Canis lupus familiaris: one gene and its partners. The protein of the gene in region 1 interacts with the protein of each later gene in a pairwise test. Links are inferred from orthologs where the notes say so. Each region holds a gene or a part of one and is shown on either strand. Other genes may lie near its edges. The genes, in order: NR1H2, NPY and MED1.

Region 1 (4,288 bases):
CCTTGTTCTCTTTGGCTCATGGGAGGCTCTGATTATCTGTTTAGTATTTTGGCCTTCCCCTGTAGGGTATCCTCTCCACAAGGGCAACAACTGGAGGTATATGACTCATCACTATACTCCCAACAGCTTTCCTGAGGCTTATCCCTGGAGCTCCTCATGGGCAGGAAGGAAGGGCCTTGTAGAGGATGGGCAGACTGCCCATTACCTCAATGGTAGACGCCTTCAGGAGGGCGATCTGGTCCTCGCGGCCCAGCTGCAGGAAGCCAGGCACTTGTTTGGCGAAATCCACAATCTCCTGGACTGAGATGATGGCTAGTTCCGTGAAGTGGGCAAAACGCTGCTGGCGGGCATCGCGGGACTGGGGGTCTGCACCCAGAGGCCAGGGCTGGGGAAACAGGGGCCAGGGTTATTCTCAGGACTTCTCCCTCAAGCCCAAGGCTGCAGGGACACCTTGAGGCAAAGACTGTACCCTAGGAGACCCTCCTCTCCAAGGCCCTGCCCTCTGAAGGCTTGTTACCTCCCCATGCCCTTGGCTACAGCCTTACTGGCTCAACCCCACCATGCTCATCATCCCTCAAGGCTGTGGGAGGGGAGGTACCGTGACTTTGGGCTGGTCAGAGAAGGAGCGTTTGTTGCACTGCAGTTGAGCTGCCACCAACTGTTGGATCATTAGTTCCTGAGCAGCTGTTAACTGAATACCCTCGCCTTCCCCAGAGCCCTGGCCGCCTCCGTCAGACCCTCCAGGGGAGGCCCCAGGTCCACAAGCTGTGCTGCTGCCCATTGGCCCTACTGGTGACTGTTGCTGCTGCTGCTGTTGCTGCTTCCGAATCTTCTTCTTTCGGATCTGTTCCTCCGAGAGGACGCCTGTTCGGGAGACAGAGGCCTCAGCAGAGGCCCCAGGGCTGGGCAGGGGTCCGGCCGGCTCTCCCCCCAGCACTCACACTGCTCCCTCATCCCGGCCTCCTTGCACTTGCGCAGCCGGCACTGCTGGCACTTGCGCCGCATGAAGGCGTCCATCTGGCAGGTCCCGCCACCCCGGCAGGCGTAGCGCCTGGCCCCGCCTCGGACCACACTGCGCCGGAAGAAACCCTTGCAGCCTTCGCAGCTGAGCACGTTGTAGTGGAAGCCAGAAGCCTTGTCCCCGCACACACGGCACAGCTCATGGCCCAGCATCTTTGGGGCTGGGCCTTTCTTTCGCTTGCGCTCAGGTTCCTCAGCAGGGTCTGGAACGACTGGGGTGGGTGGTCAGGAACCCTGAGACACAGGGCCTCGGAAGGAAATTGCAGCCCAAGGATCATCCCCACAAGAGAGAAGCAAAAAGCCAGGATACAGACAGTGACCCAGGGAAATGGTGTCTCAGAAACAAAAGCGTGCATATCAGTGAACCCCAAAGAACAAATGACAAGTGGCATCAAGTAGGAAAAAAATATGCTCACGGGCAAAAAAAGAAAAAAAAAGTGACAAGTAAGCATGGAAGAAAAAATTAACGAGAAATTGGGAGCCTCCCATCCTCATTTCTGATCTTTCTCCCTTTCTGGATCCTTCCCCAACCCTGTCCCAGCCCCTGTCCTTGGCCCCCATCTCACCCCCGCTGCAAGCGGAGCGGGCCCAATCGCTGCCTGGGACATCAGGATCTGGACCCGAAGGCCACAGTTCAGGACCCTCCTCCTTTATCGCTGGTGAAGAAGATGGGGCGCTGGCTTGAGGCGGGCCATTTCCTGGGAGAGGTAAGCACAGTGAGTTTCTCCTGACAAGTGTGCCACGGGGGTCGGGGCTGGGCCGGGAAGGAGCTCACTCACCAGGCAAGGGCGTGTCCAGAGAACTGGTGGTGGGGGTGGACATGGTGGAGTCACGGAGAAACCTGCAGAATACGGGGGGACCGAGAGCCTTGTGGGGCCAGGGAGGCTCAGGTTAGGCCAGCCCCAAGTCCTGATGCGGGCACCTGTTTCTTCCATTTTTCCAGGCTCCTCCTTTACTGCAGAGACCCCCGCCTAGCCCCTGCCTGCCTCTGGGACCTCTCCTCAGGTTGGGACAGAGCCCGCCCCCGACCGCTCCAGGCCTCCACAGGCTCTCAGCCCTGCCCTCACCTAGACTCCGCCCCTCCCGTAGGCTCCGCCCACTCCGTTCCTGCAGGTACTGCCCTTTCTGCTTCCATCGTGCTCCGCCCTCACTTCCTCCATCCCACCCAGTTTCACCCTACCTACGAGTAAGAACTCCCCACCTCCGCGGAAATAGCATCCCCAACTCCCACCCTGACCCCACCACCTCCCCTTGCCCCACCCCCACTTTTCCATCTAGGTCCCGCCCAAGCCTACCAGGTCCCACCCTCACTCCAGCCATCACGCCCCGCCCCTCCCCTTGCCCCGCCCCGCCGGTGCCCCTCCCTGCAGGCCCCGCCCCACCTCCCGTCAGGCCACGCCTCACCCCTCCCTTCACGCTCCGCCCCCACACCTCGCTCCAGGTCCCGCCCCTCTCCGAACACCAGTGGGGGGCGGGGCTCATGGCTGCGCGCGAGGGTCTTGTGGGCGGCCTCTCGCGGGGTCTCCTACTCCCGTTGCCCTGGAAACAACCGGAGACAGCGCGAGCTACGGAAGGGAGGGGGGGGAAGGAGAGAAGGAGGCTGAGCGGAGCAGCGCGGGGAACGCCGGGAAGCCCCGGGCCCAGGACGCCTCCCGAGTCTCCCCACACTCTAGTGCACCTGCCTCTGTCCCCTTGCTCTGCTTTTCCTCCTCCTTCTCTGTATCCCCTGGCACGCCGCCGCTTCTCGGATCCCCTCAAAAGTAACTTCGCCACTTCTTCCGGCAACCCCGCCGTGCGTCACTTTAGGAAGGGGGCGGGCAGTCAGGAGTGACGGACTTCCGGTCCGCTTAACTAGCCAAATCGGCTGCCCCGCACGGAAGTCGTATTCTCACCGGAAGCTTACCGTCCGGAGTATTTCCACCGAGGCCTGGCAGGAGAGTTCCGGACCAGTTCCCGAATGTAGTGCGGGAGGGGGCGTGGCCTGTCTCAAACCTTCCGAGTGGGAGCTGGGCTGCTTTTGCTCCAGCCCTGTTCCTCTCTGGGCTCGTAGCTTGGGGGTTTACTGGTCACAAAGCTCCCGACCTTCTGCTCCTTGTCGCACACGTTGATTTGAAGCATGTTTGTCCTTGTTTGATTAACAAGTTTTCTGGTTTTAGAGGCACGTTGCTTATTGGTTTGAAATAAATTGAATTGCAAACCTAGACCCAGGAAAAATCTATTAAAAAAAGAACTTGTTGAGGGCTCCCTGGGTGGCTCAGCGGTTTGGTGCCTGCCTTTGGCCCAGGGCATGATCCTAGAGTCCTGGGATCGAGTCCCATATCGGGCTCCCTGCATGGAGCCTGCGTCTTACTCTGCCTGTGTTTCTGCCCCCCCCCCCCCGTGTGTCTCTCATGAATAAATAAATAAAATCTTTATATATATATATATATAAAAGAACTTGTTGATATGAAGATTTAAAAAAAGCATAACCTCATAACCAAAGTGATACAAATAATAGCTTTTAAAGATAACTCACAGTACTTGAATAGGTAGAAAAAGGGAACTGTTCTGGTCTTCCCTGGATGATAATCAGATCTATATTGAGCATATATCCGTTTTTTATTGCAACGTATGAGTCATGCTCTTTTATAATTTGTTTTGTCCATTCCGACATGACCTTGAAGCTATGGAATCGGAGGATGTTACCACTAAAAGGGGTGATTACATGGACATAGAGTGGAGAGAATGGCTGAACTCGTGTCTCTGTCACTTCCTAGTTGTGTTATGTTGAGCCAGGCTATTGACCCTGCCTGTGCCTCAGTTTCCTTTCCTAAACTGGGTCCAACGAGGAGGCTGGGTGGCTCAGTAGTTGAGCACCTGCCTTTGGCTCAGGTCGTGATCCTAGGGTCCTGGGATTGAGACCGCATCAGGTTCCCCGCAGGAAGCCTGCTTCTCCCTTTGCCTGTGTCTCTGCCTCTTTCTCGGTCTCTCATGAATAGATAAATACAATCTAAAAAAAAATAAATTGGGCCCAATAAGAGTTAGTTGGGTTGTCATTACAACTAAATAAGGTAAAAAGAATGAGTCAGGTCAGGTTCAAATAAGGAGAGCCTAATATGTGAGAACTGTGTTTATTCTTGGGGATGCTCAGGTTGTTTTTAACTTCCCTAGAATAGTGCAAAAGGCTGAAAGAGACTGAAAATGAATTACAGCAGTTTGGGGCAAGGCATATCACCCTCAGTCTCAGTTGACGGATCTGTAAAATAGGGGAAGTTATTCCTATTTCTTA
Region 2 (4,064 bases), on another chromosome or scaffold:
TTTACCAGACCAAGTTCCCTGGAGCAACTCTGAGAGACCTGAAATATGTGTCCCTGTCATATTTTTGTGCAATATGGAAAGAGAAGCATTCACCTAAGTGAAGGGGATGTGGTCTTCAAAATTTCTCATGTGCGTACACACACACACACACACAGAGAGAGAGAGAGAGAGAGAGAGAGAGAGAGAGAGAGAATGGGAGAGAACACCGAGTGCAGAGCTAGCCACACAGTAATTGATCTTTAATTCAGTGCGGTGGAAACAGCACAAAAGCGCTCAGTTTAACAGAATCACTTGTGATCTTAACATTAAAATAGCTTGTACCTTAACACTTTAATCTCCTGACGTGCCATTTTTTTTAGAGAGAGTTGGAGTTCTAGGAATATTCAGGTAACTTTTAAGAATCAAAATCCTGTTCCTGTAAAAAAAAAATGGTTTATTGAATCTTTCATATTCATGCCAATAAATGATTTTTTTTCTTTTACCTGTTTCATTTCAATCAGAACCCACACTCTCAATCCACGTTAATGAACATATCTGTAACTATCCCGGGGCTAACAAATAAAGGAGAAATTCCCGTCCCTTGAACTACCCGGTAGCTTTGGCTGCGCCTTGCCCTGGACGGCGCGTCGGCGGGTCTGCAGGCCGTGGAAGCGCCGCTCCTTGCCGGCAGCGCGGGCAGGTGGGGTTACCGCGTCCCGTTTCTGAAGACTTTGCAAGCGCCACCCTTTCAGCCCTGATGGAGCCGGAGTCCCCGCGTTGGGGCGAGTACTTGGGGTGGGCTGGTCCCCTCGCAAAGAAAGCGGGGGCAGGGCCCGAAGCCACAGGATCCCATCTAAGACCCCGAGGGGCGGAGGGGGCCATTCGCCCTGGGACAGGCGCCCCGCGCCAGGTTCCGCGCAGGGAGATCGGTGCACGGAGGGGTCCCGGCTGCGGGCTGGTGCCCCGCGTCGCTGCGGCGGGCGTCCCGGGGATGCTCCACCGCTGGAGGCGGCGCGCCCCCCACCCTAGCGCCCAGCCGGTCGGAGGTCCCGGTGACGGGCGACACACAGGGTCTGGGCTGCTCCCATCTCCAGCGGGACTGGACGGGGGGTGACGAGCGCCCGCTCTCGCCTGCCCGGGGCCCCCTGCAGGGCGGGGGTGGAGGAGCGGGGCGGGGGGGCGGGGGGCGGCTCCAGAAGCGGCGGCTCGCGCGACTGCGGCCTCGGCCCCCCTCCCCGCCGCCCCCGCCAGTCGGGGGCGGGAAGCGGCGGGTGGGAGTCACCGAACGTGATCGCCCGAGGCCCCTCCTGCCGCCGCGAGGGAGCGCCATAAAAGCCCTGTTGCGCCCCGCTCTCCGCACCGCGTCCGCCGGCGCTCACCCCTCGGACAGGCGCCCCGGGACCGCACAGCCCTCGCCGCCCGGCCACGCCCGCCACCGTGAGTGCCGGACCCGCTCCCCTGGGGGCGCCAGCCGCGGGGACACGGCGCCGGCTCGCCCTCGGGGAGCTCCGGGGTCGCGCCCCGCTTCCCCGCCCCTGCGCGCCGCGCTCCGTCCTCTCGGGCCCCGACGCGCGGCGGCAGCTCCCGGAGGCCGAACTCCGCTTGCTCCTTCTGGTCCTTTCCGACTGCGCTTCACGCGCGGTCCCTCGGGGCTACCTTTTGGAGCATTTGGAGGGGGACACGACCCCCAGCCCCCGGGCAGCTCGCACTTTCCTCGGGGCTGGCAGCCCGGAAGGAGGCTTCCCGGGCTGCGCCCCCCCCCCCCCCAGCCCCGAGCGAAGCATCCCCGGGGTTCGGAAGCCCCCTGCCTCCTCCCGGATCCTTGGGATCCCGAGATTGACTGCCGGGAGAGCAATTCTCGCCTCGCTCCCCCAAATTGTCACCCCCAAAGGAATCTCAGCCAGGACGGTCTCTCTCGCAGCAAGACAGACCGCGAGAAGAAACTTTTCCCCTCCGACAGGAGTTTGGGAAAGAGGGTGGGAAAGCGCCAGGACCCCGACCCCACCGGGGGGAACTGCTCCGTCTGTCTTTAAAGTGTCTGACCCGGCGCCCCTGGTTGCGCGCGGCCCCTGCGGCCCCCGACTTGCACGGAATCCGCGCGGACCTCTCGGGGGCAGCGGGCGGGTGTCGCCCTCAGCGCAGGGCTCTCCGCTGCCCCTGGGGACTGGGCCGAGCGCGGGCCGGGGGGCGCGAGTGGCCGCGGGGAGGGGGCGTCGAGGGACACCCGGGCGGGAGGGTCCAGGCGTGCGTCCCCCAGCCCCCGCTCTTCCCCGCTGCGCCCCCTGTGCCCGCAGATGCTGGGTAGCAAGCGCCTGGGGCCCTCCGGACTGACCCTCGCCCTGTCGCTGCTCGTGTGCCTGGGCGCGCTGGCCGAGGCGTACCCCTCCAAGCCGGACAACCCCGGGGAGGACGCGCCGGCGGAGGACATGGCCAGATACTATTCAGCGCTGCGACACTACATCAACCTCATCACCAGGCAGAGGTGGGTGGGCTCCTGAGGACCGACGCCCGGAGCGCCCTGGCCCCAAACCCGAGATCCCGGGGATGTCAAAGGACAGGGACCAGGGTTTTGTTTGTTTTTTTTTTTTTTCTTGCTTGGACCCCTGGGCAGCACGGTATCAGGCACGTACTCAGTTCTCCGTGAACAATTGCCCAGAGCCCTGAACGCTTTCCCTCTGCGACCATAGTTACAAAATCGTGACCCCCCAGATTTAGGTTCCCTAGGCTGTGTGGCTGGCGATCTTGCCCCCCTCACTCCCTGCTCTTTTTTGTTGTTGTTGTTGTTGTTCTTAGAGCAGTTGGGGGGACTGTTTGGAAATCTGGATGGGAAAGGACCCCCTAAACTTGGTCAGGAGTGCCCCAGAGAAGTGCTGTAGGGAGAAGGGTGAGCGGAGTGTCTAGGAGCTGCAATCACCACCACCAACCAGCAAACAGCTGGGTTGCCAAAGACATTGCCAGATTTTCCAAGCTGCCCAGAACAAATTGAATGACAATATTTAAGAAAAGACAAACAGAGCTCTTTTCTTCTGTGCAGTGTTTTGTTTTCTTTTGTTTGTTTGTTTCTTCAGTCTCAGCCCTTTACTTTAAAATCCTGGAGATAATTGAGACTTAGCATGAAAACAGTTGATCTAAAGTATAGACTTTCCCCATCTTCTGGCGGGTTGAGTTTTGAGAAGGAAGTGCCCACTTAGTGGTTTGTTAAGAAGAAACTAGTCACTCTGGGATAAACCCAGGGATTACATGGAATTTGAAAAATTGTAAACTTTATTCTGAGCCCTCAGAAAACTAAAATTGAATGCCATGTTTTCACTCTCAACATCAAATATTTATGCAAAAAAAAAAATCACATCCAAACTGTAATATAGAATTTAAAATTTGTTTCCAATTGGTTTATCTTAGTTCTATCTTAGTTTTAAGTCATTTAATGTCTTAATTACTGGGATCAAGTTACCTTAATAGGCTAAGAAAGGAGAGCCCTTTAAAAACATTAATGTTAAAAATCTCTAAATTACGTTTTGTAAAGTGTTATTGTTTGTTTTTGCTTTTACCACACTTTTTACTATTTGTAAGTCAGGGAATAGTTGGGAACGATTCAAAATGGGGAGAATTTACATTTCTTAACTAAGTTTTTTTTCCTGTTTCATCAAAAAGGGGTATGACATCCTAAAAAGCTTTTGAAAAAGTCTCTGTTTACAGAGAATCAGAAATACATAAAATGCTGAATTAAATAGTATTGATTTGTAAACCTGGAAGTCTGTTCATTTTAATGAGCAAAAAGGCAATAATGTTTTATATCCAAGTAGACTTCTCAGAATGTTAATTGCTTCAAATTCTTGCTTATGCTGTCATATAGAGCAGATAAAAGAACTTGTTCAAATAAAAAAAAAATATTGTCGTTTATGTAGGAAAAACGCTGTTGGTTAGTTTGTCGGTTATAACCCAGTAGATTGCTATAAAGCTTTATCATTGTATAAAGCATTAGCATTTCAAAATGTTTCCCTAGGCGTTCATTTTGTCTTTACCTCAAAGCCTTGAAGTGGGTATAATTATCTCCATTTTACAGGTCATGAATCTAAGAACATTTT
Region 3 (3,577 bases), on another chromosome or scaffold:
AGCCGGGGGCAGGTTCTTTTTCACCATGTCTTCAACTGTCTCTGCAATGAGGGACAGTGCTGGGGTGTCGGCCTGAATGGTTTCAGCTTTCCTCCGAATAGCCCTCATCGTCACAGGGATGGACATACATCTGTAAGATAAGATAGAAAAAACAAAATCAGCAATGTATTAGCTGCTGAAAGAAAACAATTTTTATTTGGGAAAACAGGCTTTAATTTTGCCTGAAATTCAGATATGTACTCAGAGGTTTACAGTAAGGAATTTTCAGGTAAGGCAAGTAACCGGTAAGACAGAAATAGTTCTATAAAATGCTGGAGCATTGGGCAAATTCATTCTAAAAGGAATCTGTACCAGTAGGCAATCTTAACCTCTTTTAAAGCACTACCCAAAACAAACCAACCACAAAGTCCAAATTACATGTCATACTAAACCAAAAGAAAACTGGTAATAATGAACTCAGTAAGAAAATGCCCTCCTGGGGCGCCTGGGTAGCTCAGGTGGTTAAGCATCTGCCTTCAGCGCAGGTCATGATCCCAGGGTCCTGGGATCGAGCCCCACATCAGCTCCCTGCTCAAAGGGGAGTCTGCTTCTCCCTCTCCCTCTGCCCATCCCCCACCACCTTGTTCATGCTTGCTCTGTCACTCTCTCAAATAAATAAAATCTTTAAAAAAAAGCCCTCCTTTTAGGACTTCACATGTGATTAATGGGATATAATATTTACCTTAATTAATGAAACACTAGAAAAAGCTCTTGAAACATCAAGTTCTAAACCTTAATGGCAAAAAATAATAATAATAATAAAAAAAAACTAAACCTTAATGGTGGGACACCTGGGTGGCTCAGCGGTTTAGCGCCTGCCTTTGGCCCAGGGCATGATCCTGGAGTCCCGGGATCGAGTCCCACATTGGGCTCCCTGCATGGAGCCTGCATCTCCTCTGTCTGTGTCTCTGCCTCTCTTTCTGTGTGTCTCATGAATAAATAAACTCTTTAAAAAATAAATCATAAAATAAAATAAAATAAAATAAAATAAAATAAAATAAAATAAAATAAAATAAAATAAAATAAAATAAAATAAAATAAAACAAAAATAAACCTTAATGGCTTAAAGCATCCCAAAGCTATATTGTGAAAGATGCTATTATTGCTCTAAAATCTTTATTATTTTTTTAAATGATTTATTTACTTATTTACATATGATATATATATAGAGAGAGAGGCAGAGACACAGGAAGAGGGAGAAGCAGGCTCCATGCCAGGAGCCCGACGCAGAACTCGATCCCGGGACTCCAGGATCACACCTGGGCCAAAGGCAAGCGCTAAACCACTGAGCCACCCAAGAATCCCCTACAATCTTTATTATTTTAAAGCAAAGCACTTTTTATCTTATAGATAAGTTTAAAAACGTATTTTCGGGATCCCTGGGTGGCGCAGCGGTTTGGCGCCTGCCTTTGGCCCAGGGTGCGATCCTGGAGACCCGGGATCGAATCCCACGTCAGGCTCCCGGTGCATGGAGCCTGCTTCTCCCTCTGCCTATGTCTCTGCCTCTCTCTCCCTCTCTCTCTGTATGACTATCATAAATAAATTAAAAAAAAAAAAGTATTTTCGAAAACACTTTGCTCTAGAACATTTTAGCAACTTTTCTTAAAGAGACCAAAATAGTAGTATTTTAGGATTTTGAAGATCACATGGTTTTTGTCCAACTATTCTGCCATCTTAGCTCGAAAGGCACCACAGACAATATATAGGGGTGCCTGAGTGGCTCAGTCGGTTAAGTGTCCCAATTCTTGATTTTACCTCAGGTCATGATCTCAGTGTACTGAGATCAAACCCCACATCAGACTTCCCACTCAGTAGAGTCTGCTTAGGATTCTCTCTCCTTCTAACCCCCACCCACCCCTCAAATTCTCTCTAAAAAATAAATCTTAAAAAAAAAAAAAAAAAAGAGACAACATATAAATGAACAAACATAGCTGTGTTCCAATAAAATTTATTTACAAAACAGGCCACAAGCATCAGCTCTAGAAAAATCTCAAAATTACATATTAATGTTTCTGGGAAGCTGACTAGCTTAAAGTATCTTCCTACATGCCACCATTTGATATATTACATATGTTAAAAAGTGATGCAGTAGATAAGTAAAAAAAAAATCTAGGGGCTCAGTTGGCTAAACATCAGTCTTTAGCTCAGGTCATGATCCCAGACTCCCGGGATCAATACCCATGTCAGGCTCCCTGCTCAGCGGGTAGTCTGCTTCTCCCCCCTCCTTCTGGCTGTCCCCCTGGCTCCTTCTCTTTCTGCCTGTCTATCTCACTCTCTATCTCAAATAAATAAATAAAATCTTAAAAAAAAAAATCTACATCTTATTTCAGGTATTTCCTTCCTAAAAGAATCCTATACCAACCTAAAGTTACTCTACCTTACTTCCTATTACTCCCATGATGGTATTTAAAAAACTAAAGCTTGGGGCAGGCCAGGTGGCTCAGTGGTTTAGCGCCGCTTTCAGCCCAGAGCCTGATCCTAGAGACCCAGGATCGAGTCCCACAACAGGCTCCCTGCATGGAGCCTGCTTCTCCCTCCGCCTGTGTCTCTGCCTCTGTCTCTCATTAATAAATAAATAAAAACCTTAAAAAAAATAAAAAACTAAAGCTCACATTGCTTTTGAATCCCAAAGCAGAGAAAGGTGAATTCAAAACAGTGACTACATGCTTCCCTCCTGGGCAGCCCCAGTGGCGCAGCGGTTTGGCGCCACCTGCAGCCTGGGGTGTGATCCTGGAGACCCGGGATCGAGTCCCACATCAGGTTCCCAGCGTGAAGCCTGCTTCTCCCTCTGCCTATGTCTCTGCCTCTCTCTCTGTGTCTATGAATAAATAAATAAAATCTTTAAAAAAATAAAAAATAAATAAATGCTTCCCTCCTAAATTTCCATTCACTTTAATACTGAAAACAGTGTTTCTTATACCCCTCTAAATGGGAGTCTGATGGAAAAGAGCCAGTGCTACCTTTGAACAACTTTGGCAATGAAGTCATCTGTGCAGATGAGTGCATCTGACAGCCCCTTGTACAGTTTACAGCTCACATGTGTTGAGTCCTGCACATCCATTACCACTGAAAGACAAAACATATAGGAGTTGAGAGAAATTCAGCTTCTGACTTTCCAAAAAGAAGATAAAGAGCCCAAACTACTGCCCTAAGAAAAGAGCTAGCCCCCTCAAAACTCACCACACACCAGGGAGTCATTCACAGGGTGCTGAAAAGATACGCTAAAACGGGACTCTGAGAGAGGACACACTTCAAATTGGAGGAGCCCAGGAGAATCTAAAAGGCAAAGAAAAAGATCATAAAATAATCAAATATAAGACTAAATCCTAATAAATAATAATCCCTAAGTATACAGAACATCATTTTCAGTCTCCTTAGAAACTAAATCCTATACATTTTTTACATGCAAAACTACTATATCATTCACAGGTGATAGAATGAATCCGATTCCAAAAAATATGTCAGCTTGTTATAAATATTCCAAACAAATAAGTAACTAAACTTCCACTTTCTAAAATGAAGGCCATTTAATCCCTAA

Evidence for each region.
Region 2: the proteins of NR1H2 (region 1) and NPY interact in a two-hybrid assay, tested with the Homo sapiens proteins (3 studies listed by BioGRID and IntAct). The link is inferred for Canis lupus familiaris from reciprocal best matches to the Homo sapiens genes NR1H2 and NPY.
Region 3: the proteins of NR1H2 (region 1) and MED1 interact in a two-hybrid assay, tested with the Homo sapiens proteins (2 studies listed by BioGRID and IntAct, with this or other methods). The link is inferred for Canis lupus familiaris from reciprocal best matches to the Homo sapiens genes NR1H2 and MED1.

Annotation. Positions count from the first base shown.
Region 1 is NC_049222.1:107,001,688-107,005,975, forward strand, and holds the start of NR1H2 (oxysterols receptor LXR-beta), read right to left. Parts: upstream 2,860-4,288; 5' UTR 2,699-2,859; intron 2,586-2,698; 5' UTR 2,425-2,585; intron 1,862-2,424; 5' UTR 1,843-1,861; coding exon 1,800-1,842; intron 1,719-1,799; coding exon 1,587-1,718; intron 1,233-1,586; coding exon 942-1,232; intron 865-941; coding exon 599-864; intron 386-598; coding exon 206-385; intron 1-205. UniProt on the Homo sapiens protein: Nuclear receptor that exhibits a ligand-dependent transcriptional activation activity. Binds preferentially to double-stranded oligonucleotide direct repeats having the consensus half-site sequence 5'-AGGTCA-3' and 4-nt spacing (DR-4).
Region 2 is NC_049235.1:37,907,402-37,911,465, forward strand, and holds the start of NPY (pro-neuropeptide Y), read left to right. Parts: upstream 1-1,263; 5' UTR 1,264-1,416; intron 1,417-2,273; coding exon 2,274-2,461; intron 2,462-4,064. UniProt on the Homo sapiens protein: NPY is implicated in the control of feeding and in secretion of gonadotrophin-release hormone.
Region 3 is NC_049230.1:22,961,934-22,965,510, reverse strand, and holds part of MED1 (mediator of RNA polymerase II transcription subunit 1), read right to left. Parts: intron 3,316-3,577; coding exon 3,220-3,315; intron 3,106-3,219; coding exon 3,000-3,105; intron 131-2,999; coding exon 1-130. UniProt on the Homo sapiens protein: Component of the Mediator complex, a coactivator involved in the regulated transcription of nearly all RNA polymerase II-dependent genes.